4 linked regions of the Lepisosteus oculatus genome follow. The protein of the gene in region 1 interacts with the protein of each later gene in a biochemical or structural test. Links are inferred from orthologs where the notes say so. Each region holds a gene or a part of one and is shown in the gene's direction. Other genes may lie near its edges.

Region 1 (7,410 bases):
GTTCACCCCATTTTATTATCTGGCTTTCATTATAATAATAATAATTGCTTACACTTATATAGCGCTTTTCTGGACACTCCACTCAAAGCGCTTTACAGGTAATGGGGACTCCCCTCCACCACCACCAATGTGCAGCCCCACCTGGATGCCATAGTGCGCCAGAACACTCACCACACATCAGCTATCAGTGGGGAGGAGAGCAGAGTAATGTAGCCAGTTCATAGAGGGGGATTATGAGGAAGCCATGATTGGTAAGGGCCAATGGGAAATTTGGCCAGGACGCTGGGGTTACACCCCTACTTTTTTCGAGAAACGCCCTGGGATTTTTAATGACCACAGAGAGTCAGGACCTCGGTTTTACGTCTCATCTGAAGGACGGCACCTGTTTTACAGTATAGTGTCCCCGTCACTATACTGGGGCATTAGGACCCACATGGACCACAGGGTGAGTGCCCCCTGCTGGCCCCACTAACACCTCTTCCAGCAGCAACCTTAGTTTTTCCCAGGAGGTCTCCCCTCCAGGTACTGACCAGGCTCACACCTGCTTAGGTTCAGTGGGTTGCCAGTTGTGAGTTGCAGGGTGATATGGCTGCTGGCATATCATTGACAGTCATTATCTTATATTGTTAATTGATGTGTGGTTTAAATCTAATTCTTGAAAGGTGATGGCAGTAATCCCAAACACAAGGGGGCTTACCTCTTACAGAATGGTTCCGATATATAGAAACTGTAATTGATGTGCTTAGCCTGATTACAGATATTTGCTCAGATATTTAAGCAATAAATGGCAGTTTAGGAAAACTACGTTTTGTTTTTGTGTGATTATTCATTCTTAGTAAAAAAATCCTTTATTTAGTATTCACAGTATTTCACTACTGCACAGACAGAGCGTCCGAAACTAGGTAGGTTGATGGGTCTTTCGGATTTTCCAAGGTCTCTTATCTTGTGAAATGAACAATTCCTTGCGATGTCCACTTTACTCCACAAGGGGGCGCTATATCTCCGAAATGTATGCCAGACGCATCACAGTCCAATTGCCCAGAGAAGTTACACACGTCACTTGGCAAAAATGGCACATTTATGTCAGGTCTGGAAAGCTTCATTGAATGATTTTGAGAATAAAGAACCACTTCTTTAGACGACATTGTTTCAACGTACTTAATGCCATATCAGATTTAAAAGTGGTGGACAACTGTGCAGTCTTTGCAAGAGGCAAAACGATTGATTGTCTTGTGTGAGGGAAACAAAGGCCTTCTGTGGGCAGTTTGAGAAAAAAAACGAAACCAGGCTGCAAACAGATTGAGGAGAGCCGCGTGACCCCAGTGGTTTGACTACTGCAGGGGTCCAGGGCTCGATCCTTATGTTCTGGCTCGGGTGCTTCTCTATTCTGCTCCCTGAACTGGTCCTGGAAAAGCACGTGCACACACAGAGACCGAATACAATATAATGAAGTCCATCGAAAACACAAAAACACCTGTGGCCTAAATAAGAAATTTCCATGGCACTGTATTTGTCTTTCAAATTTGGTGACATTAAACAGAAATATGTTTCAATTCTCCTTTACTTTCAGTGTTTTCTGTTGCCCGAGTGTGAGATGCATGGCAGGCCTTGTGTTTGTTTTTAAAAATAATTATCTCAGTGGAAAGAAAGTCTAAGAAAGTGGAAAGAAAGACTAGTCTAGCTAAACGTCAGAGTGACTGCCTGAGTCATGCTGGCCTGCAGCACGGATTGGAAACTGTGAGTGGAAGTGATTGGATTCTGGAAATTAAGCAGCAAGCTGGAAAGGCATCAGGATTGACAGCTAGCGCCAATGTTCCTCAGGAACAGAGGACGGGGCACTTCCTGGCAAACAGCGCTCTGTCCACCTTTGGTACGTTCAAGGGACAATCCACTGCTGAAGACCAATGGAAACACAAAACAAGAGAGAAGAGCCTGGTGAGAAATGTTCTGGATATTCTGTACATTGAAGTAGTTCGAGTAGGGGGCTGTGTCAGCATGCGTAGGCTGCAAAGGAACAGGTAACGGGTTTATTCCCTGCTGGAAAGAGAAGAAAAACACAACGTTTCGGCTGTGGAGCCTTCTTCGGGTGTGAGAAAGACAGGGTAGACGGCAAAGATTAAAAAGCACAGGAGAACACAGGCTGGAAAAGTGGAGGAGGAGGGAGAGGGGAGAGGCAGAGAGGCCACTCAGGAGGTGCAAAGTGGAGAGGGGTGGAGAATGGTGTGAATAGAGAAGATAACACGAAAATAAGTGTATGAGCAGAAAACGGTGCAATTTAATACCTGACACTCCTTCAGATAACCAAAATCAGCGGTTCGTGGGGTATCATCACAGCCCTTTATTTTATTCACCGCCTGGAGTAAACAGAAATACCAGCCAGAGGACGCAGGTGGAAACTAGGTAACAGTGTCTTTAAAACCCCAAAACAGGAGGTGTTTCTTTACCAAGCCACACTGGTGAAGCCAATACCTTGACTCCTTTCACGAAAACAGCTGGACGAGATCCTGGGATCAATTAACGATCAACTACCAAATGAGCAAAATGGACCGATTGTGGTTTGCAATCCATTCTCAAGCTCAAACCATAATTCAGTCCATCAGATCCATGATTCTGCAGTTAGAAACTTGCCTTTGCGTGGTATTGTGCTCTGATGACATTTCTGTCCCATTCCTGCTTTGTGTTTGGAGTCAGCAGCTTATTTCGCACCTAGACATCCGTGTCAGGATGTGACAGGTTTCCTGCAACATCGCACACGCGTAAAAGAATGACCGCGCACAGGGACGAGCCTCCGCAGCTCATGAAAGACCTGAAGCGCACAATAGCGCACGTCAGCCACATTTTCACTGTCTAACGCTGGAAAGCTGTAAAGACTCGCCCTCGTCATACCCAGCACTGCTTGCATTGATCTCCACAATCGTTTATGTTATGTCGCGATATTTTACACGAGTGCTGTCGTTTAGCGTGAAACGGAAGAGGTTCAGATTGCGCCCAGCGAAACAAAAGGTGTCTGAATGTGAAGACGAGGGTGTGGCGGCCGGTTAATAGGAAATAAGCGCTGTGTGGTAAAGGCGTTTCAACTCATTGATGGTCTGTGGAAACGCCTCAGTACTGCGAAGCTCTTCGGTCTCCTCATTTCCTCATAAATTAAAGCCATTTTTTAATAAAAAACGTAGCCGGTGTCTGTCCTCTACATAAACTTAAGACACATTTGAAACGCTTGTTTTTTTATGAAACGTAAACAGTTGGTGCTTTATATTTATATGTTCAAGAAACTATGGAACGTATAGAAGCCCTTAATTCGCTAAATATTACTATTACCTTAGGGCCATTTCAGACTTCCTGTTAAGTTATACATACTGTATATACACTGTATTACGTTATTCTAAAACGTAATACTGCTTGTCTTCACTCCTTTTTATGGAAACTTTAAGAACCATTTATTGCTGAGCACAGTTGTTCCGGGGTTTGGCGTTTGTAGACTCAAACATGAAAACATTACATTTTGAAAAGGACGCTTGAAACACGGTGAAGTATTTTTCCCCCCTACACTCTGTAGTTGTGTGTCATGGTATACGTTCAATTCGGTAGATCTATCCGCAGTTTTAATTCACCCACCACCCAAGCAAAATAAAGCGAAGTCGTGAATGTAGACATTTGTAAATGCAGGTCTTAGAAACTACTATTGCAACGAGTGCGCGGAAAATGGGCTGGTAACAGAACAGAGCTGGGGCTTTCTTAAAAAGGCTGCTTAGGTGGAGTTGGCCCTAAAATAATCAAGGTAAGGATTATAGCTTTAGCGGTGCAGTATTGCGACACAGGCATACGTGTAATTAATAGCTCTCACTTTTATCAGGATGAAGACAGGAAGGGGTTATTTTAGACAAGCCCCCCTTTCGGTAGCTAAAAGTGTTTCCAGAGCCAAGTTAAAATAACATACAAACCCCCCCTCCGAAGCGCGATTCAAACACCGGGCGGAAGAGACTTCACCTCCCTTCCACGCTCTCGCACGAACTATTTTTACACGGGGGGTGATAATATAGCGAGGGGGCGGTGTCCCTGTCAGCACGCACGGGCAGCGCCCTCCCTCGAGAGTAGCCGAGCCCCCTGTCAGTTAAGCGTGCAGCTCGTGGCCTGTCTGCGGCATTATTTGAAATCCCTCACAGTACCCACTGAGTGACGCCTACGTCATAACGCACCACCTCTTTCTTTTTTCACATTTGAGCGCTGGCTGTCGACTCACACCCTCGTCCACCGAGCGCCTCTCCTTTACTGCCGCCAAAGGCAATAACCCCCTTCGTTGCGTTTTTTCATTCAAGAGAATCGTTGCACATGAAAGATCCGGTTGGGGGGTGACACATCCCGAAACTGCGCTGGCGGGCGGCCGCCATCTTGGCTCCCGCTGCCGTGCGCCGCAATGAGGGACGCCGAGCACGCGTTTGGAGCCCCAATGGCGTCAGTTTCCTGAGCCTCTGAGCCCCGTCAAAGGCGGTGCGTGGTAACTACTCTGCGCATGCCAATGGGCGGAAATGGGGAAAAAAAAGTGCCTGAAAGTAAGCGAGCGAGAGGAAGTGGCGGGTGATCGGGTCCGCACCTTTTCCGGTAGCCGAGAGCCGCTCGGAGCTGAGAGAGAGAGAGGCGAGAGCGGGGTGGATCAATCCGGGGATCGGGGGGCCGCAGAGCAGGTAACAAAAAAGACGCCAGACACCGGCGGGACCGGCTGAGAGAACCGCGTCTCAGAAATGCCGGCGCCGCTTTTGTTCAGCATTGAGCGGAAAACGTAACCACGCTAGCGGCGGCTGCGCTTAAAGTTGTGTTTTTTTTCCCCTCCCCTGACACCCCTCCCTTTTCTCAACCGCTCTTGTGTTACAGGGAGAAGAGAAGAGGAAGCTCTCGAATGAATCAATGACCTTTGGAGTCGCCTCGGCTCAGGCTCTTCCGTCTCCGACAGAAGTGTGGCGGACCCGGGCGGACCAGGCTGAAGCGCGGAGCCGGTGAAATTGCGAGCTGCCCACCCGGTTCAGAAAGGAGGGGAGGCGGCGGCGGCGGAGGAGAAGGAGGAGGAGGAGGAGGGGAGAGAGAGAGAAACGGGCGAGCGGAGACCTCGACACGGGCACGCCAGGAGGAAGTCTGTGAACTAGCTCCCGCAGGCTTCTGCGAAGGCCTGCTCGGGCAGCCGCGCCGATCCTCAGCCAGCTCACTTCTGGAAGTTGAGAGAGGGGCCGGGAGAGCAACACCCACCCCCCCCAGCCGGACCCGTCTGTGTTGTAGGCCCTCGCCTTAGAGAGGAAGAAGGCAAGCCGAGGGACTGGAGAACCGCATTACACGGACCCGTAAGTGGATCCCGGTGTGCTCTTGATGTGGACTTGAAATAACCGGCCTCCCCACACCCTCTTTGTCAACCTCTTTCCGGCACCTGGATTCCTCGCCACTCCCGGTGTCTTTTAACTGTGACCTCGGCCTCCCTTTTGGCGTCCCGGCTCGGTTCAAGGCAAAACCTTTTACTGACTGAAAGGGATATCTGACAGCCCGGGAGGAGGGGGGACGGACCGACCGACGGGACAGCTTTGTTGTTATGGATTCTTTTCGGATGTTGTCTAGAAGTTGCACAGCCGGCTTTTAGTGTTGGGGGAGCAGTAATCTCGCACGGACGGATTGCCGCTTTGCAGAGACACCGTCTGCGTCTACAGCCCAGCGATTGAATGGTTTCTAACTTCAGCCTGTCCTGATGTACTGTCCTTTGCTCCCCACCGGATATTGACCAGTGCGTGACCAGTTGGCTGCTTGGGCTGAAAGTCGGGAACTGTTCGGTAAAAAGAAATACAAAATCAGAACATCTTATTTATTAGGTCTCAAGTGCACAACGGGGGTCCAGGTGACTTATTGAATTTCTCAGAGGAACTGGATATTTATGCGCTGTTTACACGATGGGGAAGATGCTATCCAAGATATTTGGCAACAAGGAGATGAGAATATTGATGCTTGGACTTGACGCCGCGGGGAAGACCACCATACTTTACAAACTGAAACTGGGGCAGTCCGTCACCACCATCCCCACCGTAGGCTTTAACGTGGAAACCGTGACCTACAAGAACGTGAAATTCAACGTGTGGGACGTCGGGGGACAGGACAAGATTCGCCCCCTGTGGAGGCACTACTACACGGGCACGCAGGGGTTAATCTTCGTGGTGGACTGTGCGGACAGAGACCGCATAGACGAGGCCAGGCAAGAGCTCCACCGCATCATTAATGACCGGGAGATGAGGGACGCCATTATCTTGATTTTTGCCAATAAGCAAGACCTGCCTGATGCCATGAAGCCGCATGAGATCCAGGAGAAACTGGGCTTAACCCGCATCCGAGATAGGAATTGGTATGTGCAGCCGTCCTGCGCGACTACAGGTGACGGACTGTACGAGGGGCTGACTTGGCTAACTTCTAATTACAAATCTTAATGGTCGAATGATGACTGGTTAGAACAAGCAAAAAAAATAAAATAATACAAAATTTACACGAGAAGAAGCAATTAACAAATAACATGGCTTCTCGGAAGAATATAATAAAAAAGTTTGATTATAATTCATTTTCTTTTGATTATTATATGACCCCCGTATAACTAATCATTTTTTTTCTTAAAGTAATTATTTGGCTGGCTTTAATTTTGCTTTTGCGCTGTCCTTGGATCACGTTCTTTATTGATTACCGTGACTCAAGAAATACTCCCGTGAGAGACTTTTTAAAAGAAAAAGCAGACTACATGAATTGCCTCAAGCTCTTGAATTTTCTTAGTTTTATTGTATTATTTCCTTTGGCGGGGCGGGGATTTTTTTTTTCTGTTTTACTTCTCATTTTTGCCTCTCTGAACCTGCTTGATGTAGACTTTGCTTCTTTTACATTCATACCGAACATGTGTGCGATGTTCAGGCCTGAAGTTTCTAATAGTAAATATATATAAAAATTGTTTGAAAAAAAAAACAATACGGCGTGTCTCTAAATTTTATACTGTTTCTTTGAGAAGGAATTAAGCCCAGAGCTTACAGATTTAAGATTGCCGAGAGAGCCACCAGGTGTTTAGCAGCACCGTTCTGTTACAACTATGTGAAGTATTACTGTAGGTATAGATGCTGAACGAGGTACAAGTATACTACAGCAAAGTGCTCAAAACACTTCTATATATATGTATTCCTTTGTAAATGAGCGTCCCAAGCATTGGTGACCTGCAATGCTGTTTTGAAGGACCCCCCCGCCGCACACGGGTTTTAAAAGTCAGGCTTGAAGTTGTTACCACGGGTAACTAGGTTGGGCCGGAAGCCCCCCTCCGTGACGGACTGCTGCGCCTCGCGAAGACTTCGCCGAAGTTCCCGTGACGGGCTCGCGCGCTCCGCCATCCCGGTGCTGCTCCCCGCTCCGGCG
Region 2 (7,935 bases), on another chromosome or scaffold:
AAGAACCAAGAGTTATGACTGTACCTTAGGCTGTAAGTTGGATTCCTTAAAAATTTAAAAGAAGCTTGCAAATAGCTTCTAAGGATCTCAACATAAACGTGCGAGAACATGGGGTTAGTACTATGTGAAAAAGATTGGGAAAGTATTTGAATAATGAACAATTTAATTGTCTTAGACCTTTCCAAAAAAACACTATTGAAACTATTGGAAAAATGTATTTCATCAAACCGTTTAAGCCAAGGATAAGCAACTCTGGTCCTTAAAGGTTGATGAAGTAAACTTTACAAGCAATATTTCATTTCGGTGACATTGTATAGTCTAATTAAGCCAACGTGTTTTTTTCAAAGACCGGACTACAAAATGTTTCAACGAAAGAGAGTGCAAGTTTAAAGATAAAGGTTCTTATGTGTGGGAAGATGAATGGGTTGTTGGCTACGCAGGTCAGAAAAGCCTGTCTGCACCTCCTCCTTCTTGCCAACTGGATACAGGTGGTGCTGCCTTGAATTTGTTGTTTATATGATCAAAACTTGGTTTAGCGTTTGATTTAGTTATTTTTCAGATCAGAATCTGGAGATCTAAGATGTTTTTTAGAGCTACTCTTTTATATGCTGTGCCATGGGATTGTTTAGAAATTCTGGTTTGAAGGTTGACTGCCTGCTGTTGGAGTGCCAGCACTATGTACAGTAGCAACCTGGTTTTCCCAGTATTGACAAGGCCCAGCCTTGTTTAGCTTCTGAGATCAAACACGATCAGACAGCAAGACGATAGCAGTGCTGTATAATAGACAGCAGACTAGGCACTTTTATCATGTTCAGAAGTGGTGCATGATTTGAAATTGTTGCTTAGGGTCATAGAGGAATGTAATCTTTTCAGAAACGAGAAGCTGTTTCTTCACTAAAATTAAGAGTTTGATACAGTACTTCAAAGGGATGAGTGATGTTGATAAGGTGTTTAAATGAAATAAGATGTGTGCTTGTGATCTAACCAAACACACTTTGTCTCTTTAGGAAGACAACACTTTAGGAATCAACACAAAAAAGCTTCCCTTCCATTCTTGGAATAAATGTCAGCATTTGCCTTCTTGACTGTTGTTGAGAGAACCAGAGTTCAACAGCCACATGACTTGGAGGGAAAGGGAAGTATCGGCATTTTCACATTGTTTCTGTCATGCCATCTGACTGGGAGCAGCATTGTGGGAAGACTCAAGTCACTCTGCAGCGCTGCTCTGTATTAGAGAAACGGCCCCGTGCATGAAGATTTTATTAGTCTTCAATAAGACAAGCTTCCAGTTGTTGAACCTGAGCTGTGAGTCACTTTGTCAGCACTTGAGCACATAATTTTTCACAACAAGTTTGTGCTCCCCAGTAGCCAGCCTACGCCCACGCAGTCCGTCGTGACAGACTTGCAAACAGTGAAGCCTACTTGCAGGAGTGTCTAGGTGCCGATACTGTAAGAAAAAAGGGTATTGCTTTGCCCAGTCCTTCAAAATCATTAATTTATTCTGTGGCTGGTAAAGGAGCTGTAACGAACAGTTCTTTCCGGACCCTATGCGGACGACACAGTCCGACGGAGTGGGGAAACACTGGGGAAACGTCATGCAGGAATACGGGGCAGAAGACAGGGGGGCGTGTCCAAGGTGCGCTGGTGCACGGGGGAGGTGTGGCCGAGGCGAACAATCCAAAAGAGAAGTCCTTAGGGAATATCCAAAAACACACGAGAAAGTCCAAAACCACGAGATCCATCAAAACACGAAGTTAAAACCACGAAGTCCGGGTCAGAACCGGCGGACAGGGAACGGGACCAGGCGCTTCCAGGTCCCGGACTCGCACGATATGGAAATCAGATGCAGAGCCCGGATGAGCGTCAGCGCCTGGCTTTTAAGGTGGGCTGGGAATAGGGAGCAGGTGCATAGAATAAAGTCTCACGTGAAAGGGCTGGAGCACCCTTAAGGAGGGGGGACTATAATCGTGACAGGAGCACTAAGGTGATACATACAAATCATATGAATCACAGGTGAAATATTGTAGGTGTTTTTTGTGTTGCTTTTTTACTACGGTTACGGCGCTTTTCATTTGCCCTGTGCTACATCTAAGGGTATCAAAAGAAGACAAGTGTAGAAAGAGAGGTCCTAAAGTTGTATTCATGTGGAAGTCAGTTTCTGAGACAATAGATCATTGGAAGAAAACACATAACTGAGATGTTTACTTAAGCTTTTCTCTTGGTTAACATTTTTCACATCTTAAAGGAAACTCCTCTTATATTTTCTTCTTATATTTTTAGCTTCTCATTATCAAAAATAGCACATCAGTTTTACTATGTACAATATCTTTACTGTCCAGTTCATTTCTAGTACTGTATGGTGTTGTGCCTAAAATTGTATTATTGCTGTACATCTCCATTTATGGTTGTAAGGGTCCCTGGAATTCATATAATTTTTAAATGGAAAGAATTTCGCAGTGGTTTACAATGGATGCTGGAGTTTTTCCTAAAATCTCATAATAGTGAAATCTCCCTGATCGAAACTATTTTTGCACTCCAGTGTGCTAAATAAGGAGCACCTACTGTACAGGGCAGAAGATTTAGCTGAAGAAAATGTTTCCCAAGCGCGGTGGAATCAAATAATGTTGGAGCTTTTTCAGGATGAGTGTAAACTGATATCATTTTAATTTCTGCTCTTGCTCATACAATGGGGTAAACTGTTTGCTTCAGATCAGATTCATGAGACCCTTGTCCTAATTGCAGATTTCCATCTTTTTTCTATTCTAGACAAATATTTTCCTGTCAGAGGCCTGCTTCCATGCTTGACAGCCTAGAAATGGCAATCAGGCCTGTAATTATAATGTAATGAATTAAGATCATGATAATTAGATGTTAATATGGGATGACAGCCTGCAAAAGATATGACATGGAGCTGATGCACAAGAAATGTTAAACTGAGCAATAACTTAACAATAACAATAAAACGAAAAACGAAGACTTCAGTGATCCTTCAGGCTCTCTTCAGTGATTGATGCTGCCAGACGGAGACTCTTATTTTCTCTTGCAACCTCGAGAATAGTTTTTTAATATTATCGTTTTGAAATCTGTTTATCATATTTTTTACTTAAATGTGCTCATTTCTACCTATTGCCCATTGATTATAACCTATTACCCATCCTAAGTAAACTTGTATTGCTTCTTAAATAGAAAAACAGCAAGGGAATATTCCCCCAAAACTCCATTTCACTATAAATTAAATATCTTTGCAGCGGTACATCTTACACAGGTGGAATACTGCATGTGCTTGAAGTTTCTGGAAGCCGGGAGCGGTACACATCTCTACATTAGCTTTAATTTAAGCCGTGAACCAGGCTTCTACTATATAAACCTCCAGAGATGTTACAAAAAATTTGAGGGGACATCATGGCAGATGGAAATGGACTCTTTTTCCAGAGGCGAGAAAGCATTAACACGGACACATTTCCACACTACCCAGGAATCGCCCTGCTTATCTGTTCCTGCACCCTGCATGGAAATACCACCTTAAACAGAATCAGTGTGCTCTGATGGGGTGACATATCTGTGTAACTATGCAGAATAACTCCACAGATTTGATTGACTATACCAGTGGTTAGTACACCTCTGTAGAAAATGTTCTATTTTATAGGAATTAAAGCTCATTATTTGGTTCATCCTCTGAGTTAGATAGCGGAGGCAGTGTGGGGACGCCCTTTGTCTGAATTATTCTTTCTCCACAGCCAAGGTTTTTTTCTTGGATAATGAAAACAATGAGAACAGCTCAGTAAAGGCCTGGACCATTATCAAGTACATAATGGCCACTGTGTCAGATATTGATGCGTTTGCACACAGACACACTTTATACTGCAGAGATAAAAACACATTGCTATATAGAATCAGCGAAAGGTAATTTCACTGTTCGTCAGATAAGCTGACATATAGAGGAGCAAAAAATAAAAGACCTTAAACAAAAGAATAAAAGTGATTAATACAATATATATAATATGTTGTATGCACACACATACTGTATAACATATTAATAATGTAGCAGTTAGTCAGTTGGTCTGGTTTCTGCTTTGGTTTGGTTTCATTAAGTATTATTAATAAACTAAATCTCTTCAGAAGTCAATTTAACCATTTCACTGAACTGTCGCCAGGTACTGTATGTTGATGTTTTTTTTTTATTTCATTAAAGCAATTGTAGGTTTGCCTTCAAATTACAGTGAGGCTTGGGCTTGTGCATACAGTAAGTTCTTGAATTTGTTTAATATGTGTGATTTTTTTTTAAAGGAGAATAAAAGCTATTATCTCAAACCCTCTAGTTTAATAAATGTATCATCTCAGTGGTAAAAGGCTACATTATATTTATATTATATATTATACATAAGTATTGAAAACAATGCTTTTGAGTATACAGTACAAATAGGAAAAATCATATGCTATATCAGTATTTCCCAGATAATATCCTATGGTACAGTTTATTTTAGCTGTTGTTCATATCAGCAGTAACATGTATTCTAAATAAATATAATATCACAGCCGGGTTTGAAAATAGTGACTTGTATTACAGTCATTCCACTGGCGTTGCATTACATTATACTTGTTCAAAAGAGTTAAAAGGATTTGATTAAAAAAAAATACAGCTAGACTGAACCAAGACAAAAAGTGTCATGCATTCGCAACTTGGGCATTAGGTAAGATCTCGGTCTGACCTCGCTTCCGCCTGGACTAACCACGCGTGCGGCCGAACGGTAGCCTTGAGGGTCTCCGGCATGACATTTTCTAGACGAAATAAGTTTCACTTAACTATACTTAGATAATTCTGGTAAAAACAGGTGTACGATACGCAAACTATTCGCTCGCCATACACGAATGTTCGTTATTGTGATTCACGTTTCCTCAACGAGACGAATCAATCGAGTGAAGACGGCAAAACGTTCAATGCGACACTGTAGTCGTTAAGCAATCATTAATGCACAAACTCGCTTTTTGATCCTTCGATGTCGGCTCTTCCTATCATTGTGAAGCAGAATTCACCAAGCGTGGGATTGTTCACCCACTGATGGGGAACGTGAGCTGGGATAAGACCGTCGTGAGACAGGTTAGTTTTACCCTTAAAACAGACAGTATGTTGGCCCCCTATTAATGAATTGTTTGGATTTGAAGTCAGACAACTGTATTGAGCCGACTTTCTAAAAATTTCCAAATCACATTAGACTTAATAATAATAAACTGGATGTGCCTACAGTATTACATAAGCAATGCATGCTTTTGTCTGTTTAAAAGTTTCAATAACATATGCATTATTATATTCTCAGCTGTGAATGCAAATGTGACCCACAGTAAATACATAACTACGTGTGGTCATGTTGCTATTTTATTAGTTTTCCATTATTAATCCTCTGTTTTTTAATTGCCAGTTCACTCGAACTGATTTGATATGATGTGTTGAGAAATTAAAATCAGTGTTACTGTTTTAGTGTTTTCATTTTCCATTAATTATTTCACCGTTGGTGAGATGTTTGCTTATACAGGTAAATATGGAAAACATTTTGATGTCACCCTCTAGTTTTACTGCTTAATCAACTACTATAATCGGATTGTGATAATTCAGTACAATATGAGAGTATTTTGCCAATATGCTTACTGACCATTTACTGTGTGTCTTGATGCTTTTTACTGTGCAAAAATCGACTACTGTACTGTATATAGTACTGCATGTGACCAGCAGCCTAAGCTCTCATCAACTAAACTGTTAATATATAATATTTCCTCTAGGAGTTACTCAGAAATATTATCCTGATTGTCAGATTTGCCATGTGTCTTTTTATTTTCAGTTTAGCTTCATGCATGATTATTCCTCATGTCAGTAATTATTCCTATGAATACATTGTGCATTGGTGGTATGTTGTTTGGTCATTTGGTCGAAATGTGTTAGGGAGGAAGTGTACCCCTGCAAAGTAATACAATACACAATAGATGTGTTGTACTGCATTCATTTAATGTAAAAATCTAGTTCCTAGCAACAGTATGTAATGTAGAAGAATGTTGTCATACCGTTGGAAATGAAATGAAAAGTAGGTCACAAGTGAATCACACTTTCCCGCAATGTTTTTTTTAGATATTTTTGGATATGCCAAAGATTAGCACATTGAACACACCCTCCCATCGCTCAGAGCATTGACGTTGATGCTCAAGAGACACTCCAGTTTGCTCAGTGTGTTAAAAGAATAGTAGGCACATCAGTGGTGACATATATCATATATATATATTTCATATATTTCATCCATTATATCCCACACATTAAAATTAATTAATATTATGACAAATATGCACTACTTATTACATGTGAGGAAGCAGACATGTGTAAATTGCCCTTTTACAGTGACACATTGAGGCATACAGCTGTTTCATTGCTTTGGGTTTTTTTTTTATTCATTTGTACTGATTTACTAGATTAGATTAACCAGTTTTATAGGCAGCTGTTTCCAAATCAAAGGGTTATCAAAAGCCATGTATTTCTTCTTTATCTGTATAGGCACTGGTATTTTAATTTATCTTCATATGGTCATTAAAATTGGGTACAATTGCAAAGAGCATAGCAGAGGTACTTGAAGTGCTCAGCTAGCCCACAGCTTCAAAAACACTCATCAAACACACGTGTAAAAAGACAGCATTTAACTCCAGTGATACAAAAGCTCTTTGTGCATCACGTGCTTTAGTTCTGTACAGGATGAGTGTGTGTTCTAGGTGGCATGTGTAGCTAGAAAATGAATAGACAATCTCATAAGAACTGTTTCTTCAAATTCTGTACATAAAAAAGCAGGTGCAGTAGTGTACAGGCTTGGAAAAAGAGGCAGTTCTTTATGCAAAGAAGTGGTGCTGGGGTGGAAGGCATTGTCAAAGTGTGAACGTGTGACAGCTGACTCACTGTGTCCCGCCAGAGGCGCCTGGGGGAAATACACAGGCTGCGCACGATGCTCTAAATGACTCCTGACTGCTGTTAATGGTATACCCATGCAGTAATTGTAGAACAGCACAAGACCGAAAATGATTAAAAATGTATTTTGTGGCGAAACTGTAAAAGTACTAGCAAATAAATCGACGGAACAGTCAAAATTGCAGTACACTTTGAATGCCAGGCGTCCCTACCAAGGTCATAAGCTAATGGGTTTCTTTCTGAAAAAAAAAAAAACACGGAGCTGAATAATCAGTCATGGGGTCTGTATCAGCAGTCCATAGGACCGGAAAGCAACTTTTACTTTCTGGCGTTGTCTAAGGGTCCCGACTGATAAGAGGCATCTTGAAAACGAATCTGACAGCGGTGTGCATACAAGACTTGAAGATATAGCTCATAATATAAAAACACTTCCAACTGCGAAAATTTAAATGAGCAATTTAATCTGCAGATTTAATCAATTTAAATGTAAATCTGCAAATCTACAGGCAGTTGGAAAAAGCCATGTTTTAGGATTTGTTCAATACTCTTTTGAGACCTTCATTAAGAAGATGCTTTTGTGCATAGAAATTAAGTTTTACAACACCTGTAGTATGTAGGTACATTTATAAAGGTTATTGATATCAATTGTAAAGTATGCATAGGCATTTGTACAGATCTGTGGAGCGGGGGCCATGATGGTGAAACACAGAAGTTTTATAGAAACAATCAGAGATTTCACTGAAGTGATGGCAGTGCTTTGTATAATTCTTCGCCAAACACCAGCAAACCAAAAGGATACAGAATTACATTATGTTCTTAATAATGGAATTAAAATAATTAGTAAACAGTCAAATGCATGTTTTCTATTTTATGTTCCAAGACAGATGCAGTTCATTTACAGGTACACTGATTCTCTTGTAAAGTGCTGGAATGTATTTTTGAACTTAAGAAAGATACAGTAGGCTGCCAATTTGGTTTGCCTTTTTGATGTTTTTAGT
Region 3 (8,223 bases), on another chromosome or scaffold:
GGGATCTTGCGTGGGGGCGTGTCCGATCCCGACACGCAGGGAGGGACCGGCCCCGAGGCTGTGTGGAACGCCGGGAAGAGGGGGACACCCGATGACTCTTTGGGGCGCCTGCCTGGACGCGCGGACACTTGAGCGACTCGGGAACGCCGATTGGCATCTGAACGATCCCCGGAGGAGAGGAATTCCGGAAGGAGCCGAGGGATCCGGAAATCCCGGAGGATCTGCGTCTGCTGCTTTCCTGGGCTGTACCGCGGGTTTGGGCAGATCCATGAAAAACATCCGCCCGTCCCTCCGGCGCTGAGCCATTCCTGGGATCCGAGAACTTCCCACCGGGGGAGGAGTCCAGTTCTCTGTCTCTTGTCATTGCCCACCAGCTGGAGGTCAGAGGTCGAGGGTCAAGGGCTGCCTGCGTTCCGGGGCGCGGCTGAGCTCGGGGGGTGACTCCTGGGGGTCACTGCACTGCCCCCCCGAAATCCGCCAAGGGAGCGAAGCTCTAGAAGAATCGTTGAGCATCGTGGGACTCATTCTTACGGATCAAGTCTGATCCGCCCCAGGAGCGGTTCCCGGTATTCCCGGGACAGCGCTGGGGGCTTCTTGCCGAGGAGGAGGAGCTCCTGGGAACCCGTGCCCCACCCTGTGCAGAGCGCAGGTCTCCTCCAGAGGACACGTTCCCAGGATTCCCAGGGGAGATTCCTGAAGAGCCTGGAGACACTCGGGGTGTACAGCCTGGACCCAGGGGACCCCTTCTCAAACTCGAACCCCAGTTTAAAAGCAGCGGTTCCGGTTCTTCTCGGGTGGTTCTTCTCGGGTCTGTCTGTCCTGCTCTGCCAGGCGGGGTGAGGTCGGGATCAATCGGGGCCGAGCTGTAACCAGATCGATCGGGGCGATCGGTACAGCCCTCTGGCCCGGGGGGGTGCGAGACAGCGCGGCTCTCGGGGGGGAACTCTGGGAGATTCTCCACCCGCTGTAGCGCCCTCGTCTGGACACGAGTGGTACTGCTGAGGAGACTCCGAGGGCTCGTGCGTCGGGCGGGGCAGGGGGGCGAGCGGTGTGCGCTGCGCTGTGATCGATCTGCGCGGGGTAACAGAGGGAAGTCGTGAGAGAAGCTCGACCCCGGGGCCGGGCATGGGGGCCGCGCGGGTCAAGCGGCGCTTCAGCGCGGTGGTGGACGGGCCCCTGGAGGAGGAGGAGGTGATGAGGCTGGCGCAGAGCGCGGCGGAGCCGGGCGGCGGCACGCCCACCAGCCCCCCGGCCCGCAATGGCAAGGCCCCGCCTCCCGGGGGCGGGGCGGCGGGGCCGGGGGCGGGGCCGGGGGCGGGCCGCCGCCGCCGCCCGCGCAGCCGCTTCGTGGGCAAGGACGGCCGCTGCAACGTGACCTTCGTCAACATGAGCGAGCGCGGCCAGCGCTACCTGACCGACCTCTTCACCACCTGCGTGGACATCCGCTGGCGCTGGATGTTCGTGGTCTTCTCGCTGTCCTTCCTGCTGTCCTGGCTGCTGTTCGGCTTCTCCTTCTGGCTGATCGCCTCGGCGCATGGTGACCTGGCCCCCCCGGCGCCCCCGGCCCCCGCCGCCACCCCGCCCGAGCCCTGCTTCCTGCAGGTCAACAGCTTCATGGCGGCCTTCCTGTTCTCCCTGGAGACGCAGACCTCCATCGGCTACGGCTTCCGCAGCGTGACGGAGGCCTGCCCCCTGGCGGTGCTGGCCGTCGTGCTGCAGTGCATCGTTGGCTGCATCATCGACGCCTTCATCATCGGGGCGGTCATGGCCAAGATCGCCAAGCCCAAGAAGCGCAACGAGACGCTGGTGTTCTCCGACTGCGCGGTGGTGGCGCTGCGCGATGCCCAGCTCTGCCTCATGTGGCGCGTCGGCAACCTGCGCAAGAGCCACCTGGTGGAGGCGCACGTCCGCGCGCAGCTGCTCAGGGTGAGAGGCAGGGGGCGCCATTATGAGAGAGACGGGGAGAGACGGGGAGAGAGACAGGGAGAGATGGGGAGAGAGAGAGACAGGGGGAGAGAGACAGGAGAGCGTCACTCAGCCAGGCTGTGACATCTGGACTGCAGGCTGTTCCCTGTAATCAGCTTTTGTTGTTTTCTCAGGATTTCTGAGGTTTATGGAGGATTAATTTAGTGGCTTTGAAAAGTAAATCATAACCCCATCACTCTCAATAACTATTTCCTGTGAGTGTCTACTTCACAATCAAGTCTACTGTAGTGTCCAGTCAGTCAGTGTCTCTGTGCTGTAGTGTCCAGTCAGTCAGTCAGTGTCTCTGTGCTGTAGTGTCCAGTCAGTCAGTCAGGGTCAATGTGCTGTAGTGTCCAGTCAGTCAGTCAGTGTCTCTGTGCTGTAGTGTCCAGTCAGTCAGGGTCTCTGTGCTGTAGTGTCCAGTCAGCCAGTCAGTGTCTCTGTGCTGTAGTGTCCAGTCAGTCAGTGTCACTGTGCTGTAGTGTCCAGTCAGTCAGTCAGGGTCACTGTGCTGTAGTGTCCAGTCAGTCAGAGGGTCAGTATTAATCCATGTCCTCGTCTCTCATTAGCCTCGGGTGACCCCAGAGGGGGAGTACCTGCCCCTGGACCATGTGGACATCAATGTGGGCTTTGACAACGGCACTGACCGCATCTTCCTGGTGTCGCCGGTCACCATTGTGCACGAGATCGACGAGGACAGTCCGCTGTACGAGATGGACCGCCGTGCGCTGCAGGACGACACCGAGCTGGAGATCGTGGTCATCCTGGAGGGCATGGTGGAGGCCACTGCGATGACCACTCAGTGCCGCAGCTCCTACCTGGCCTCGGAGATCCTCTGGGGACATCGATTCGAACCCGTGCTCTTCGAGAAGAAGAGCTGCTACCAGGTATGAGAGAGAGCTACTGCCCTGTAGTGCTGTAGTGTCCAGTCAGTTAGTCAAGGTTACAGTGCTGTAGTGTCCAGTCAGTCAGTCAGGGTCACTGTGCTGTAGTGTCCAGTCAGTCAGTCAGTGTCTCTATGCTGTAGTGTCCAGTCAGTCAGGGTCACTGTGCTGTAGTGTCCAGTCAGTCAGTTAGTGTCTCTGTGCTGTAGTGTCCAGGTGGTCAATGTCCAGTCCTCTCTCTCGCAGGTGGACTACTCTTATTTCCATCGCACCTATGAGATTCCCAGTACGCCCAACTGCAGCGCCAAGGAGCTGGCTGAGAGGAAGTTCATTCTGAGCACCAGGGCCTCCTTCTGCTACGAGAATGAGGTGGCGCTGCTGAGCCATGGGGCTCTGGAGCAGGGCTCCACCACCGAGACCTCCCCCGATACTGCCCCCCGCACTGCCCGGGACCACTGAGGGAGAGGAGAGAGAGGGCAGAGAGGGGAGAGGGGAGAGGGCAGAGAGGGCAGAGAGGGCAGAGAGGGGAGAGGAGAGAGAGGGCAGAGAGGGGAGAGGGGAGAGGGGAGAGGGGAGAGGGGAGAGGGGAGAGGGGAGAGAGGGGAGAGGGGAGAGAGGGGAGAGGGCGGAGAGGGGAGAGGGCAGAGAGGGGAGAGAGGGCAGAGAGGGGAGAGAGGGCAGAGAGGGGAGAGGGGAGAGAGGGGAGAGGGGAGAGAGGGCAGAGGGCAGAGGGCAGAGAGGGGAGAGGGCAGAGAGGGGAGAGAGGGGAGAGAGGGGAGAGAGGGCAGAGGGGAGAGGGCAGAGAGGGCAGAGGGCAGAGGGCAGAGAGGGGAGAGGGCAGAGAGGAGGGAGAGGGAGAGGGAGAGAGAGGGGAGAGGGAGAGAGAGGGGAGAGGGGCAGCAGTGCGGGGAGGAGACGGGAGACGGGAGACCGGAGACAGGAGACACCAGCACTCAGCTTATTGGACTTGGCGATCGAACCCGAGCTGCACTGACCTGCTGGAGGAGCCAGGGAGAGGCGCCCCCTTGTGGAGACTCTGGGCAGCACAATCGCTACTCAGATGTCAAATCCAAATAAAACTCCAGTTCTCAACACTCTGTATTCTCCTCTCTTCTTACTAACACATTCCTTCCCCTGACCCCTAACCCACTGAGCAGGACTGGACTGGACTGAGCCCTGTCCCCTGAGCTGGACTGGACTGGACTGGACTGAGCTCTGTCCTCTGAGCAGGACTGGACTGGACTGAGCACTGTCCTCTCAGCAGGACTGGACTGGACTGGCCCTGTCGTCTGAGGAGGACTGGACTGGACTGAGCCCTGTCCTCTGAGCAGGACTGGACTGGACTGAGCCCTGTCCCCTGAGCAGGACTGGACTGGACTGGACTGAGCCCTGTCCCCTGAGCAGGACTGGACTGGACTGGACTGAGCCCTGTCCTCTGAGCAGGACTGGACTGGACTGGACTGAGCCCTGTCCTCTGAGCAGGACTGGACTGGACTGAGCCCTGTCCTCTCAGCAGGACTGGACTGGACTGGCCCTGTCCTCTGAGGAGGACTGGACTGGACTGAGCCCTGTCCTCTGAGCAGGACTGGACTGGACTGGCTCTGTCCTCTGAGCAGGACTGGACTGGACTGAGCCCTGTCCCCCAAGCTGGACTGGACTGGACTGGACTGAGCCCTGTCCCCCAAGCTGGACTGGATTGGACTGGACTGAGCCCTGTGCCCTGAGCTGGACTGGACTGGACTGGACTGGACTGGACTGAACCCCGTCCCCTGAGCAGAACTGGACTGGACTGAGCCCTGTGCCCTGAGCTGGACTGGACTGGACTGAGCCCTGTCCTCTGAGCAGGTAGACTGCTGTGTTTATTATTACATGGCGTCTTGCAGTTTGGAGACGACCTCCTTCTTCCTGAACTGTAATTTCTCGAGTGTCCCACTCGATGGTGACATTGTTCAATTATTTAATTTTTAGATATTTAATGATTTAGTTTGCATTAACTGTATTTAGATGTGTCTGTTTTGTAAAATATCTGTAAGTGCCTGTAGATTTTTTTGTTAATTTTATTTGTATTGCTTTGGCAACACCGATTTATTCATTGGTCATGCCAATAAAAAAGCATCTTGAATAGAACTGAATGGAAATGGAATTAATTCAATCGGGTTGAATTACAAAGCAACGCCGCCATCGTGTGGTGGTTTCTAGGAAAGACGCCTCCACTCCCTGCGGAGCCGACATGGCGGCAGTTTCCTGCTCTCCAATGGGAAAAGGAGGAAACTCGGGAATGTCCCTTCCCAAGATGGCCGCCGCCCCTCGCCATTCCGAGACGGAACGCGGGACTCCTCTTCCGTCTTCCTTTGTCTGAGGCGACGGAGCTGCTGTTGTGCTGCGTGTCGATGGTGTTGGTTTTTCTGTGAGAGCAGCGGTTTCCCGTCGGGAGCAGCCAGTCCGGCCTGTGGATGAGATTCGAGCCCGTGGGGTATCTGCAGGAGCCGCTGATCATGGACGAGATGGACTTCAGTAAGTGACCAGTCCGGCCTGCTGGCTCTGAGCACAAGCAGGCTACCATCGGTCACAGCAGAGGCAGGACCGACACAACCCTCTCGGGTCGTCTCTGGGCTGCTGGGTTATATAAGCAAACACGGTGGATACGACTGGGAGATCTGGTCTGTGTGTCTTTGCGTGTCTGCGAGTGTATCTCTGCCCCTCTGAGTGTCTTTGGGTGTCTGCAAGTGTATGTCTATATGTCCCGCTGTCCTGTCTATTTGAAATTTGTGTCTGTGAGGGAGGGAGACATCATCATCATCATCGATACCGTGTCTGTCTGGTCTTTCCGGTCCTGAGGAATACTGGGAATGTTGCACATGTGAGGAATGTCACTCTGATGCCCTGGAGACAAGAGTCAGGAGTGAGAGAGGTGTGAGTCTGCAGTGACTGACTGTAGTGTCCAGTCAGTCAGTGTCTCTGTGCTGTAGTGTCCAGTCAGTCAGTGTCTCTGTGCTGTAGTGTCCAGTCAGTCAGTCAGGGTCACTGTGCTGTAGTGTCCAGTCAGTCAGTGTCTCTGTGCTGTAGTGTCCAGTCAGTCAGTCAGTGTCTCTGTGCTGTAGTGTCCAGTCAGTCAGTCAGGGTCACTGTGCTGTAGTGTCCAGTCAGTCAGTCAGTGTCTCTGTGCTGTAGTGTCCAGTCAGTCAGTCAGGGTCACTGTGCTGTAGTGTCCAGTCAGTCAGTCAGTCAGGGTCACTGTGCTATAGTGTCCAGTCAGTCAGTCAGTCAGGGTCACTGTGCTGTAGTGTCCAGTCAGTCAGTGTCTCTGTGCTGTAGTGTCCAGTCAGTCAGGGTCACTGTGCTGTAGTGTCCAGTCAGTCAGTCAGGGTCACTGTGCTGTAGTGTCCAGTCAGTCAGTCAGGGTCACTGTGCTGTAGTGTCCAGTCGGTCAGTCAGGGTCACTGTGCTGTAGTGTCCAGTCGGTCAGTCAGTGTCTCTGTGCTGTAGTGTCCAGTCGGTCAGTCAGGGTCACTGTGCTGTAGTGTCCAGTCAGTCAGGGTCACTGTGCTGTAGTGTCCAGTCAGTCAGTCAGTGTCTCTGTGCTGTAGTGTCCAGTCAGTCAGGGTCACTGTGCTGTAGTGTCCAGTCAGTCAGTCAGTGTCTCTGTGCTGTAGTGTCCAGTCAGTCAGGGTCACTGTGCTGTAGTGTCCAGTCAGTCAGTCAGGGTCACTGTGCTGTAGTGTCCAGTCAGTCAGTCAGGGTCACTGTGCTATAGTGTCCAGTCAGTCAGTCAGTCAGTCAGTGTCTCTGTGCTGTAGTGTCCAGTCAGTCAGTCAGTGTCTCTGTGCTGTAGTGTCCAGTCAGTCAGTCAGGGTCACTGTGCTGTAGTGTCCAGTCAGTCAGTCAGGGTCACTGTGCTGTAGTGTCCAGTCAGTCAGTCAGTCAGTCAGTCAGTCAGTCAGTGTCTCTGTGCTGTAGTGTCCAGTCAGTCAGTCAGGGTCACTGTGCTGTAGTGTCCAGTCAGTCAGTCAGGGTCACTGTGCTGTAGTGTCCAGTCAGTCAGTCAGGGTCACTGTGCTGTAGTGTCCAGTCAGTCAGTCAGTGTCTCTGTGTTGTAGTGTCCAGTCAGTCAGGGTCACTGTGCTGTAGTGTCCAGTCAGTTAGTCAGTGTTTCTGTGCTGTAGTGTCCAGTCAGTCAGTCAGTGTCTCTGTGCTGTAGTGTCCAGTCAGTCAGGGTCACTGTGCTGTAGTGTCCAGTCAGTCAGTCAGGGTCACTGTGCTGTAGTGTCCAGTCAGTCAGTCAGGGTCACTGTGCTGTAGTGTCCAGTCAGTCAGTCAGGGTCACTGTGCTATAGTGTCCAGTCAGTCAGTCAGTCAGTCAGTGTCTCTGTGCTGTAGTGTCCAGTCAGTCAGTCAGGGTCACTGTGCTGTAGTGTCCAGTCAGTCAGTCAGGGTCACTGTGCTGTAGTGTCCAGTCAGTCAGTCAGTCAGTCAGTGTCTCTGTGCTGTAGTGTCCAGTCAGTCAGTCAGGGTCACTGTGCTGTAGTGTCCAGTCAGTCAGTCAGGGTCACTGTGCTATAGTGTCCAGTCAGTCAGTCAGTCAGTCAGTGTCTCTGTGCTGTAGTGTCCAGTCAGTCAGTCAGTGTCTCTGTGCTGTAGTGTCCAGTCAGTCAGTCAGGGTCACTGTGCTGTAGTGTCCAGTCAGTCAGTCAGGGTCACTGTGCTGTAGTGTCCAGTCAGTCAGTCAGTCAGTCAGTCAGTGTCTCTGTGCTGTAGTGTCCAGTCAGTCAGTCAGGGTCACTGTGCTGTAGTGTCCAGTCAGTCAGTCAGGGTCACTGTGCTGTAGTGTCCAGTCAGTCAGTCAGTGTCTCTGTGTTGTAGTGTCCAGTCAGTCAGGGTCACTGTGCTGTAGTGTCCAGTCAGTTAGTCAGTGTTTCTGTGCTGTAGTGTCCAGTCAGTCAGTCAGTGTCTCTGTGCTGTAGTGTCCAGTCAGTCAGGGTCACTGTGCTGTAGTGTCCAGTCAGTCAGTCAGGGTCACTGTGCTGTAGTGTCCAGTCGGTCAGTCAGGGTCACTGTGCTGTAGTGTCCAGTCGGTCAGTCAGTGTCTCTGTGCTGTAGTGTCCAGTCGGTCAGTCAGGGTCACTGTGCTGTAGTGTCCAGTCGGTCAGTCAGGGTCACTGTGCTGTAGTGTCCAGTCAGTCAGTCAGGGTCACTGTGCTGTAGTGTCCAGTCAGTCAGGGTCACTGTGCTGTAGTGTCCAGTCAGTCAGTCAGTGTCTCTGTGCTGTAGTGTCCAGTCAGTCAGGGTCACTGTGCTGTAGTGTCCAGTCAGTCAGTCAGTGTCTCTGTGCTGTAGTGTCCAGTCAGTCAGGGTCACTGTGCTGTAGTGTCCAGTC
Region 4 (7,534 bases), on another chromosome or scaffold:
ATCATGGGGATGATTGGGAACGAATGAGGGCAGCTATGAGCTGGACACCAGAAATCTCAACCCTGGACCTTGGGTGTCCCAGTCTGCCAGAGTCTATAGGTAAAAGGCCCGGACCAATTAAACTGGTGGTGTGTTCAATTCAGTCATTTTTTAGATCAGCTGGAACTTAAGTTAGGATATCCTTCACACTTAAAGGACGAGTTTTCCCTTCATTGAAACATGACTTGCTTGGTTGATCAGTGTTCCTCATCTTTATTTAACAGGGTGATTGAGCGTGAAGTGTCGCAGTAACTGGCCTGGGGATCTCCAGAGTTGGAGACCCCGGTATACATAAAAATGCATTATGATAAGAGCAGGAAAAACCCTGGCACATTGAAAATGTTGGAAAATCCAAAAACGGACTGGAAAGCAGCTGCTTGTCAGGGAATTGAGGAAAGGGAAAGAATTCAGACCTACAAATCGAAACAAGGAGGTCTACATTGAAATTGGCCTTCATGTGCGAAGGCGTGCATGCCTGAGCGTTAATGAAGGGCGAATTCCTGTTACCATACAGGTTAGAATGAGGTGCATGTTTCATAGGTGGTCTAGGAGCTACCCAAGGAGAACTGTGGGGTTTCCTGGCAGTCTACAGCAACTGTAACCTCAGCTCTTCAGCATGCCTCTAGCTCCAGCAAGACCCCTGCCTCCCCCTGGGGCTGTGGATCACCTACAGAGGCTCCCTGGCCTCTGAATTGTAGCTTTTACAAATAGTGTAGTGCACCACAACACACTGGTCTGTTTTTCCAATGCATCACCTCTTTCAGCTTTTGCTTAAGTCACAATTTCCATATGTATATTTTTTAGCTGGGCTCTTTAATTTCAGAGTGCCAGGGAAGAATAACAGCCTTAGGGAGGGAGAGAAAGTGAACAGGCACTGTTTTTCCTCTGTGGGTGCTGGGGCTTTGGTTTTCTTTGAATTTGGAAGAAATCTTCTGTCTGCATCAGTATCTTTTATTTTTTAATTTTAGAATATTTTCTTTTTCCATCCCCCGAGGTCGAATCTCTTCCCTGCAGGCACATGTAAAATTAAAAAAAGTGTGAATTACCTGACGTCCTGGCATCAGGCTCCCAGAAGCTGTTTTTTTCTCTTTATTACTTATTTTTGTAGGGGGTGAATGGGGGGGGCTGGTTTTCTGTTTGTTGTTCTCAATGGTTGGCAAATCTTTAGCATTCTTTGGAAACTTTTTTTTTAATGGTGTTAAAAACTGAAAGAGGCCACATATTAGTCTTTATCGTTTGTACAGTGAGAGCCTCGAGTTCTCTCAGCAATGGAAAGACCTGATAAGCCTCTCTCTCAGGATGTATACACATAGTACGTGGGTGTCCGTGTGTGAGCCGTGTGTGTGTGAGCCATGTGTGAGTGAGCCGTGTGTGAGTGAGCCGTGTGTGTGTGAGCCGTGTGTGTGTGAGCCGTGTGTGTGTGAGCCGTGTGTGTGTGAGCCGTGTGTGAGTGAGCCGTGTGTGAGTGAGCCGTGTGTGAGTGAGCCGTGTGTGAGTGAGCCGTGTGTGAGTGAGCCGTGTGTGTGTGTGTGTGTGTGGAGGGGCTCCATACGTGTCATAGATGTCTGCACGTGTGTGTGCGTGCCTATGAATCACTTCATTCTTTACAGAAATGGCAAATTCTCATACAGGAACCTTTATAATTTATGTAACACTGTTGCCATGCAACAGCGTGGACTTGATGCAGTACATAAAGACTTAATAAGGCAAAAGCGCGGGTAGGGCTGTGCATTGCCAAACGGAGAGAAAGAAGGCTTGGAAAAGACGATGGCAGCGCAGTAAATCCGGGGTGGGAAGGAGGGATAGGCATCTTGCGGAAATAACGAGGGCGTGACAGAGCTGTAGGCTCTGGGCCGTGTCACTGGGGGAGCAGGAACGAGGCCAACATGGAGACAGCGAGCTCGGTTGACCGGGCAGAGGGAAACTGCGTTTGACCCAAGCTGTCGTATCATTTTAAACTGTGCTTGCTGCCTTTGCCCTCTTCTGTTACGCGCTGGCCTCTGGCTGGGTAACCGTGCCACCCTCACCGCAGCGGTTGTGGAGTGGATCCGTTTTAACGGCTGCAAGTTCTCCTCTGAAGGCGGGGTGGGGGTAATCGGCATTTGGAAGGAAGGAAGTGGGAAGAATGGAAAAACGGGGAGATAAAGGGGAAAGACAGAGCAGGCTGTGGAGAGCAAAGGTTTTTCTCAAGTCAGCATTCGCTTTAATTCAACAGAATCGGTTGCAGCATGGGATCTTACATGGGTAAAATGCCCCCCAGCATACCACAGTGCATCGTTCTTAGGCAGGGATCTCCGATCTTGGTCCTTGAAAGCCTTCTTGTGCACAGATTTCTTTGCAACCATCATTTGACAACACCAATCAGCTCACGATTAGCTTAATGGGACCAATTTAGCAACAACCCTAGCTTTTTTAGCTACTAGTGCTTTAATTGCCCCCTAGAAAACTTTCAGACACAGCAGTCCTCCGAGACCAGGATTGTACAGCCTGAGGGGCAAGCAGGGAAAGTGACCAACCTCACTGCAGGTGCTTGCTGAGCTGGGAATAACTGTGGAAGAGCCGGAGAGCAGGAATGGGGAGCGGACTGGAGTTACAGACATTTTGGAGTGATTAGGAAGTTTGTAAGGGATAAGACTAAAAGGTTCTGCCTTGGCAAAACTGGGAATCCATTAGATATGGTCTGACAAAGTGTGTCCGTTTTGCAGTGCATTATCGGTGACCCATTATCTTCATGGGATTCAAGCTCCCAATAATAATAACCAGAGGAGAACTGGACATGATGAGTGAGGATTAGAGGTCACCAGATTTTGATCACTAATGATAATAATATAGTCTTCAATTTCATCAGACCTGCGGCTCGGTGAATCTTATAGTAATGTTGAGCCTGTGCTACAGTGTTCAGTTCAGAAGCTGTGTTATAGAATACTCTGTACACAGTAGCTAAGCAAGTAAGCTTCAGATAGAGAAAGCTGACTGCAAAGGGAGAGCTAGAGATGGGTTTGGGCAATTCCAGCGCTGCACGGTGTGTTAGGTATCCCTTTCGTTGGAACACCTCAGGAATGAACGACATTCAATCATAAAATCTTCGGTTGTGCTTAATGGGGGGGACAGTCTTTCCTGAGTGCACTGTCAGGAGAATGAAGTGTTTTGCGCGCTCATGGGCGTGCTGCAGTCGGTGGTGTAAACCTGAGTGGGCAGCAGGAGAACAGGCTGAGACGCTGAAGGTACACTTAAGGCTGCGATGAAAAGCTCTCTTCAGAAAGGGGTGGACGTCTTTGGAAAGGCTGCAGCACGTTGCTCGTGTAAGCAGGGTGAGGGGCTGATTTTACAGCAGATGAAAGCAAGTGTTTTGAGAGGTCACGAGTGTGGGCTGTTTTGGGACTGGCTCAAGTAATGGCCTCAATAGAACAGAATTCCCCACCTCCCCCCAGACAACACAGAGGAAAACTGCACTGTGAGATGCATGAACATGAACAATGTTCTGGGCTCGGGGTTCCAGACCCAGGGGGTCGTGGGTTCGAATCCCAGGTGAGACACCGCTGTTGTACCCTTGAGCGCTGTGCTTCAGTCGGATCCCTCCAGTAAAACACCCGGCTGCATGAATGAGCTCTCCCCAGCCCGTCATTGTAAGTAAGACTGTGTTCTCAAGCAGCGACGCAGCAAGTTAAATAAAGGATTAACAAAATGCCAAGAAAAAAGGATTCTGAATCGATTCTGTTACAGGGTTGAGTAGCTCTGGGGCTTCTGCAGACTTAGCAGAAAAAAAATGTAAATATTGTATTTTGAAAAGATGTTCTTCTGAATGGAAAATGCAGTAGCTGGAGGCCACATTGTGAGATGCGACTGGCAATGGTCCCCCTCTATTGCTGCTTCCCAATGCCTGTGTGGGCACGCGTGTGTTTGAGTGGGTGTATGAATGCGAGGGTCAGTGTGTCTGTGAGGATGCATGTATATATGTGTATGCATATGCTGTGCTGTGGCTGAACCCACTTTCCCAACTCTGTCACGCTTTGATACAGCAGCAGTCTTGACAGAGTAACAGCTCACAGCGCTGAGGTGTTGCTGAGGGGTTTGCATCTTGCAAACCCATGTTTATATACCGAGTCTGGGGAGGGTGCGTGTGTATGTGTGTAATCTGTTAGGTCTCTAAGAATATCTCACAGTTACTGTGCAAACCAATGAGAGAGAGAGAGGCAGGCACAGAGAGAGAGAGGGGAAGACGGAGCTGAGAGTAGTGCTGTCAGAGCAGAGAGAGCGAGAGTACAGCAGAGGAGAGGTGGAATTATTTGGGGAGCGGATTAAGGGATTCGTGAAGCAGCCGCAGTAGCAGGCGAACTCTGCGAAATTAATAAATGGACTGGAAGTCCTCAGGGCTGGGGATCTTCAGCAGGCAGGCGGTCTCGGGAAGTTCCCCTGTTTTTAAAAAACAAATCTGAGTCTGAACAGAAAACGGGCATCTGAAAAGGGTCTTGCTTTGGGGCTGGAGCCATGGGGACGGTGAGCGAACTATGTGCCTCCAGTTTCCAAGCTTTCCTCTGTCCGAGCATCCACGCACCCCAGCCAGGTGAGTACCGGCTCCCGAGACGGACCCTCCGGAGACTGGAAAACGTGTGATTTGCTTGCACGCCTCGTAGTTTTTCTGGCGCCTGTGTTGCGTTGTAATAGGCAGTTGTGAAGAAGATCCACAGTTAGGTCTCTGGCTCTGCCTCGCTTGCAGAAAACTGAAGTGAGCTGTTGTTTCAAAGAGTTCAAGGAGGTCTGTGGAAAGTTTTTATTTGTGACTGGCTTGTTGGGAAACCTTTTTAGTGATTTAAAGACTCACAGGTTATCTTCCCACAAGGCAGCAGCTGGGAACAAGCTGACATTATTCTTGCTTTAGATCAGAAAGTTTCTCATGATCGGTCTTCCAGATACCACGGAGTCATTTGCTTGACCCTCTCTGGTGTTTTATCTGTGAATCTGGATCTGTTACAGTGTGTGCTGTCGGTGCTTCTCTGAGGTGGAAAGATTGTACTTTCAGGTGGCAAAGAGTTTCCATATGGTGTGCTGCGTGAGGTCACTGCCGAGTGTTTCTCATGCAGACCTTCTCCGAGGCTCTCCAGAGGTTCTACATGCATTTGTGCTGCCTGGTTTTAGTTTTAATATGCGATATCCTCTTCTGAAGAGCTTGGTTCTGCTTTCACAGCGTTGCTCAGAATCGGTGGAAGTCAGTGGGCAGCCTCAGGCGTTGTCTGCTCGCAGGCTTAGTTGCGTTTACCCGACTGCCAGAAAAATCCAGCAAGTTGGTTATGCTGGTTTGGTTTAGTTCTCTTTCATTCACCTGTTGCTGAGCTGGTGACTGGTCTGTGATGGTCATGATGATTTATTATCTGTTATTGCATTTGTCTTGCATTCCCTGCTTAAAATCAGCAGGGGTTTAAAGGGTACTTAATTTGAAATGGCATCATTGTGTGTTTCTGTGGCTGATGTTTTTTGGTTTGGAGTGCATTTTAAGAAAGAGTCCCAGGTCTCTCTCTCTCTCCTCAACCCCTGTCCCTCCTGTAGCTCAGATGACCTGACAAATCAGGAATTCTGCCTTTCACAATTGACACGGAACGAGTATCTCAAAACAGGTCGTTATCGCCACGTTCCATCAGCCAGGCAAATCACCAGGAAGACATGGTGCTGGGAATAGAGAAGGTCTGATTCCAACACCCATTAGCCAGGAACTGCTGTGTGCCCATCCTCAGTGTCTTCTGGAGGTGTTGGTTTGACCATAGTGCTATCAATTTTGAAAAGAGACACTGAAGCGGTCTTTGTAGGGCTGATTGCTGTTCTGTGTTCATTAAGAATATGTACTGAATCTGAATGAAAAAATTTGTAGTTGCACAATGACGGGTTGCACTCGCAAGACACTTTTCCTGTCATTAATGTGGAACACGATAGCTGTGTTCTGTTTTTCTGCTGCGTCAGGTGTTGAGAAATCTGAGTTCTATGCCACCCTGCAAATTGAGGTTGTTTCAACACTGAAGACGCGCTCAATAGCAGCCAGACCCAGCCAGACAAGACCAGAGGGAGTTTCCCAGAATGCTGTGGGAGAGTTTAGTGCCCACTCTGTGTAGTTCCAGCCCCTTTGCTCCTCCTAAGCACCACCTGTCTTATAGCGCTTTCATTCTGAATGTGCAGATGATCTGGTGTTGCTGCACCCTTAAATCATAGTAATCAAGAAAAACCATCCCTAATCTAGTGGAGAAAAAAAGCTTGCACGTTTGTTACATTGCCTAGCAAATGGAACATTCAGGGGTTTGCAAAATGAAATGCTGAGCTTAATGTAAAAAGATTTGCAAGTGATGTTTTTCCAGTTAAGATACAGTCAACCGCAGTTCGTCGTCAGTTTTTGAGCAGACTCTCTGTAGCACAGCAGAAAAATCAGGCTGGAGGTTCTAGTGACGCAGAAGAGAGACTTTGTCGCTGACGTGTGTCTACGGCCAGCAGCTTTTGGAGTGTTTTAGCGTGAGTGCAGTTTGAGGAGCGGGGTGCTAGGTGGCAAGGGTGGGCCTGAGTGCCACAGTGGAGGAGGACGGGCTTTGATGTTCAGAGCCGTTATATAACTGCAGCTTTCGCCATGAATAATGGAGGGACTCCGGAGAGAGGGAGCCCTGGCCTCTGAGTGCTTTGACAAGGAGCTGCGTGACAACGGCGGGCGAAGTGGTGCTGGTTCCCAGCTTCGCTCCAGAGAAACTGTAACTCCTTCCTTCCCTGGGCTGAGCCGGGGACAGCGAGGGAACCTCAGCCGTGCTCCTAACCTCTGGGTTGGAAGCCCCAAGCCGTTAAAGGAAATTCCAGGTGTGAAGAAGCGCGACAGCCAAAACATTGGGGTTTTTCCTTCTTTTCAGCGAGCAAACAACCTTTACTTGTTGCTTTGTGGACTAGATTAGACCTGTTGGTACAGTAAAGGTCTGACATGAGCATGTGCCTTTTCCTTAGTGCTTCTCTGTGTGAAATTTGCCCCCAGTGGATTCTGCAGGGCAGGTTCCTGTATGGCCTTGGCTTCGCCCTACAAACACCTCACAATGACATTGCTTCACTGCACTTTGCCTTCACGCTGTCTTCTGTCTCCTGCTTTTACCGCGCCCTCTCTGTCCTTCATTTTCACACCCTATTCAGCTTTCACAAAACGATATCAACGTCCGCCATCACAGAAGGTTCATAAAATTAAATAAAGGGATTCATTGCATTTATATAGCTCTTTTCTGGAGACTCCACTCAAAGCGTTTCACAGTTAATGAGGACTGCCCTTAAAGGCCAATGGGAAATTTGGGCAGGACACCCTTAACACCCTTATTCTTTTCAAGAAACTCCCTGGGATTTTTAATGACCACCGAGAGTACGGGCTTCAGTTTTACATCTCATCCAAAGGACAGCACCTTTTCACAGTATAGTGTCCCCGTCACTATACTGGAGCATTAGGACCCACACAGACAGTCGGGTGAGCGCCCCCTGCTGGTCCCACTAA

Evidence for each region.
Region 2: the proteins of arf6a (region 1) and 5-hydroxytryptamine receptor 2A form a complex in vitro, tested with the Homo sapiens proteins (2 studies listed by BioGRID). The link is inferred for Lepisosteus oculatus from reciprocal best matches to the Homo sapiens genes ARF6 and HTR2A.
Region 3: the proteins of arf6a (region 1) and cyth2 form a complex in vitro, tested with the Homo sapiens proteins (3 studies listed by BioGRID and IntAct, with this or other methods). The link is inferred for Lepisosteus oculatus from reciprocal best matches to the Homo sapiens genes ARF6 and CYTH2.
Region 4: the proteins of arf6a (region 1) and cytohesin-1 form a complex in vitro, tested with the Homo sapiens proteins (2 studies listed by BioGRID and IntAct, with this or other methods). The link is inferred for Lepisosteus oculatus from reciprocal best matches to the Homo sapiens genes ARF6 and CYTH1.

What each region holds. Positions count from the first base shown.
Region 1 is NC_090703.1:10,289,575-10,296,984, reverse strand, and holds the start of arf6a (ADP-ribosylation factor 6a), read left to right. Parts: upstream 1-4,236; 5' UTR 4,237-4,682; intron 4,683-4,869; 5' UTR 4,870-5,924; coding exon 5,925-6,452; 3' UTR 6,453-7,410. UniProt on the Homo sapiens protein: GTP-binding protein involved in protein trafficking that regulates endocytic recycling and cytoskeleton remodeling. GTP-bound form plays an important role in the transport of multiple palmitoylated proteins form the Golgi to the plasma membrane.
Region 2 is NC_090710.1:30,783,295-30,791,229, forward strand, and holds the start of 5-hydroxytryptamine receptor 2A, read left to right. Parts: upstream 1-4,762; 5' UTR 4,763-5,098; intron 5,099-7,935. UniProt on the Homo sapiens protein: G-protein coupled receptor for 5-hydroxytryptamine (serotonin).
Region 3 is NC_090718.1:355,885-364,107, reverse strand, and holds the start of cyth2 (cytohesin-2), read left to right. Parts: upstream 1-5,164; 5' UTR 5,165-5,302; coding exon 5,303-5,363; intron 5,364-8,223. Other genes in the region: kcnj14 (ATP-sensitive inward rectifier potassium channel 14), read left to right, coding at 1,126-1,926, 2,535-2,852, 3,096-3,308. UniProt on the Homo sapiens protein: Acts as a guanine-nucleotide exchange factor (GEF). Promotes guanine-nucleotide exchange on ARF1, ARF3 and ARF6. Activates ARF factors through replacement of GDP with GTP.
Region 4 is NC_090704.1:41,342,120-41,349,653, forward strand, and holds the start of cytohesin-1, read left to right. Parts: upstream 1-4,284; 5' UTR 4,285-4,527; coding exon 4,528-4,603; intron 4,604-7,534. UniProt on the Homo sapiens protein: Promotes guanine-nucleotide exchange on ARF1, ARF5 and ARF6. Promotes the activation of ARF factors through replacement of GDP with GTP.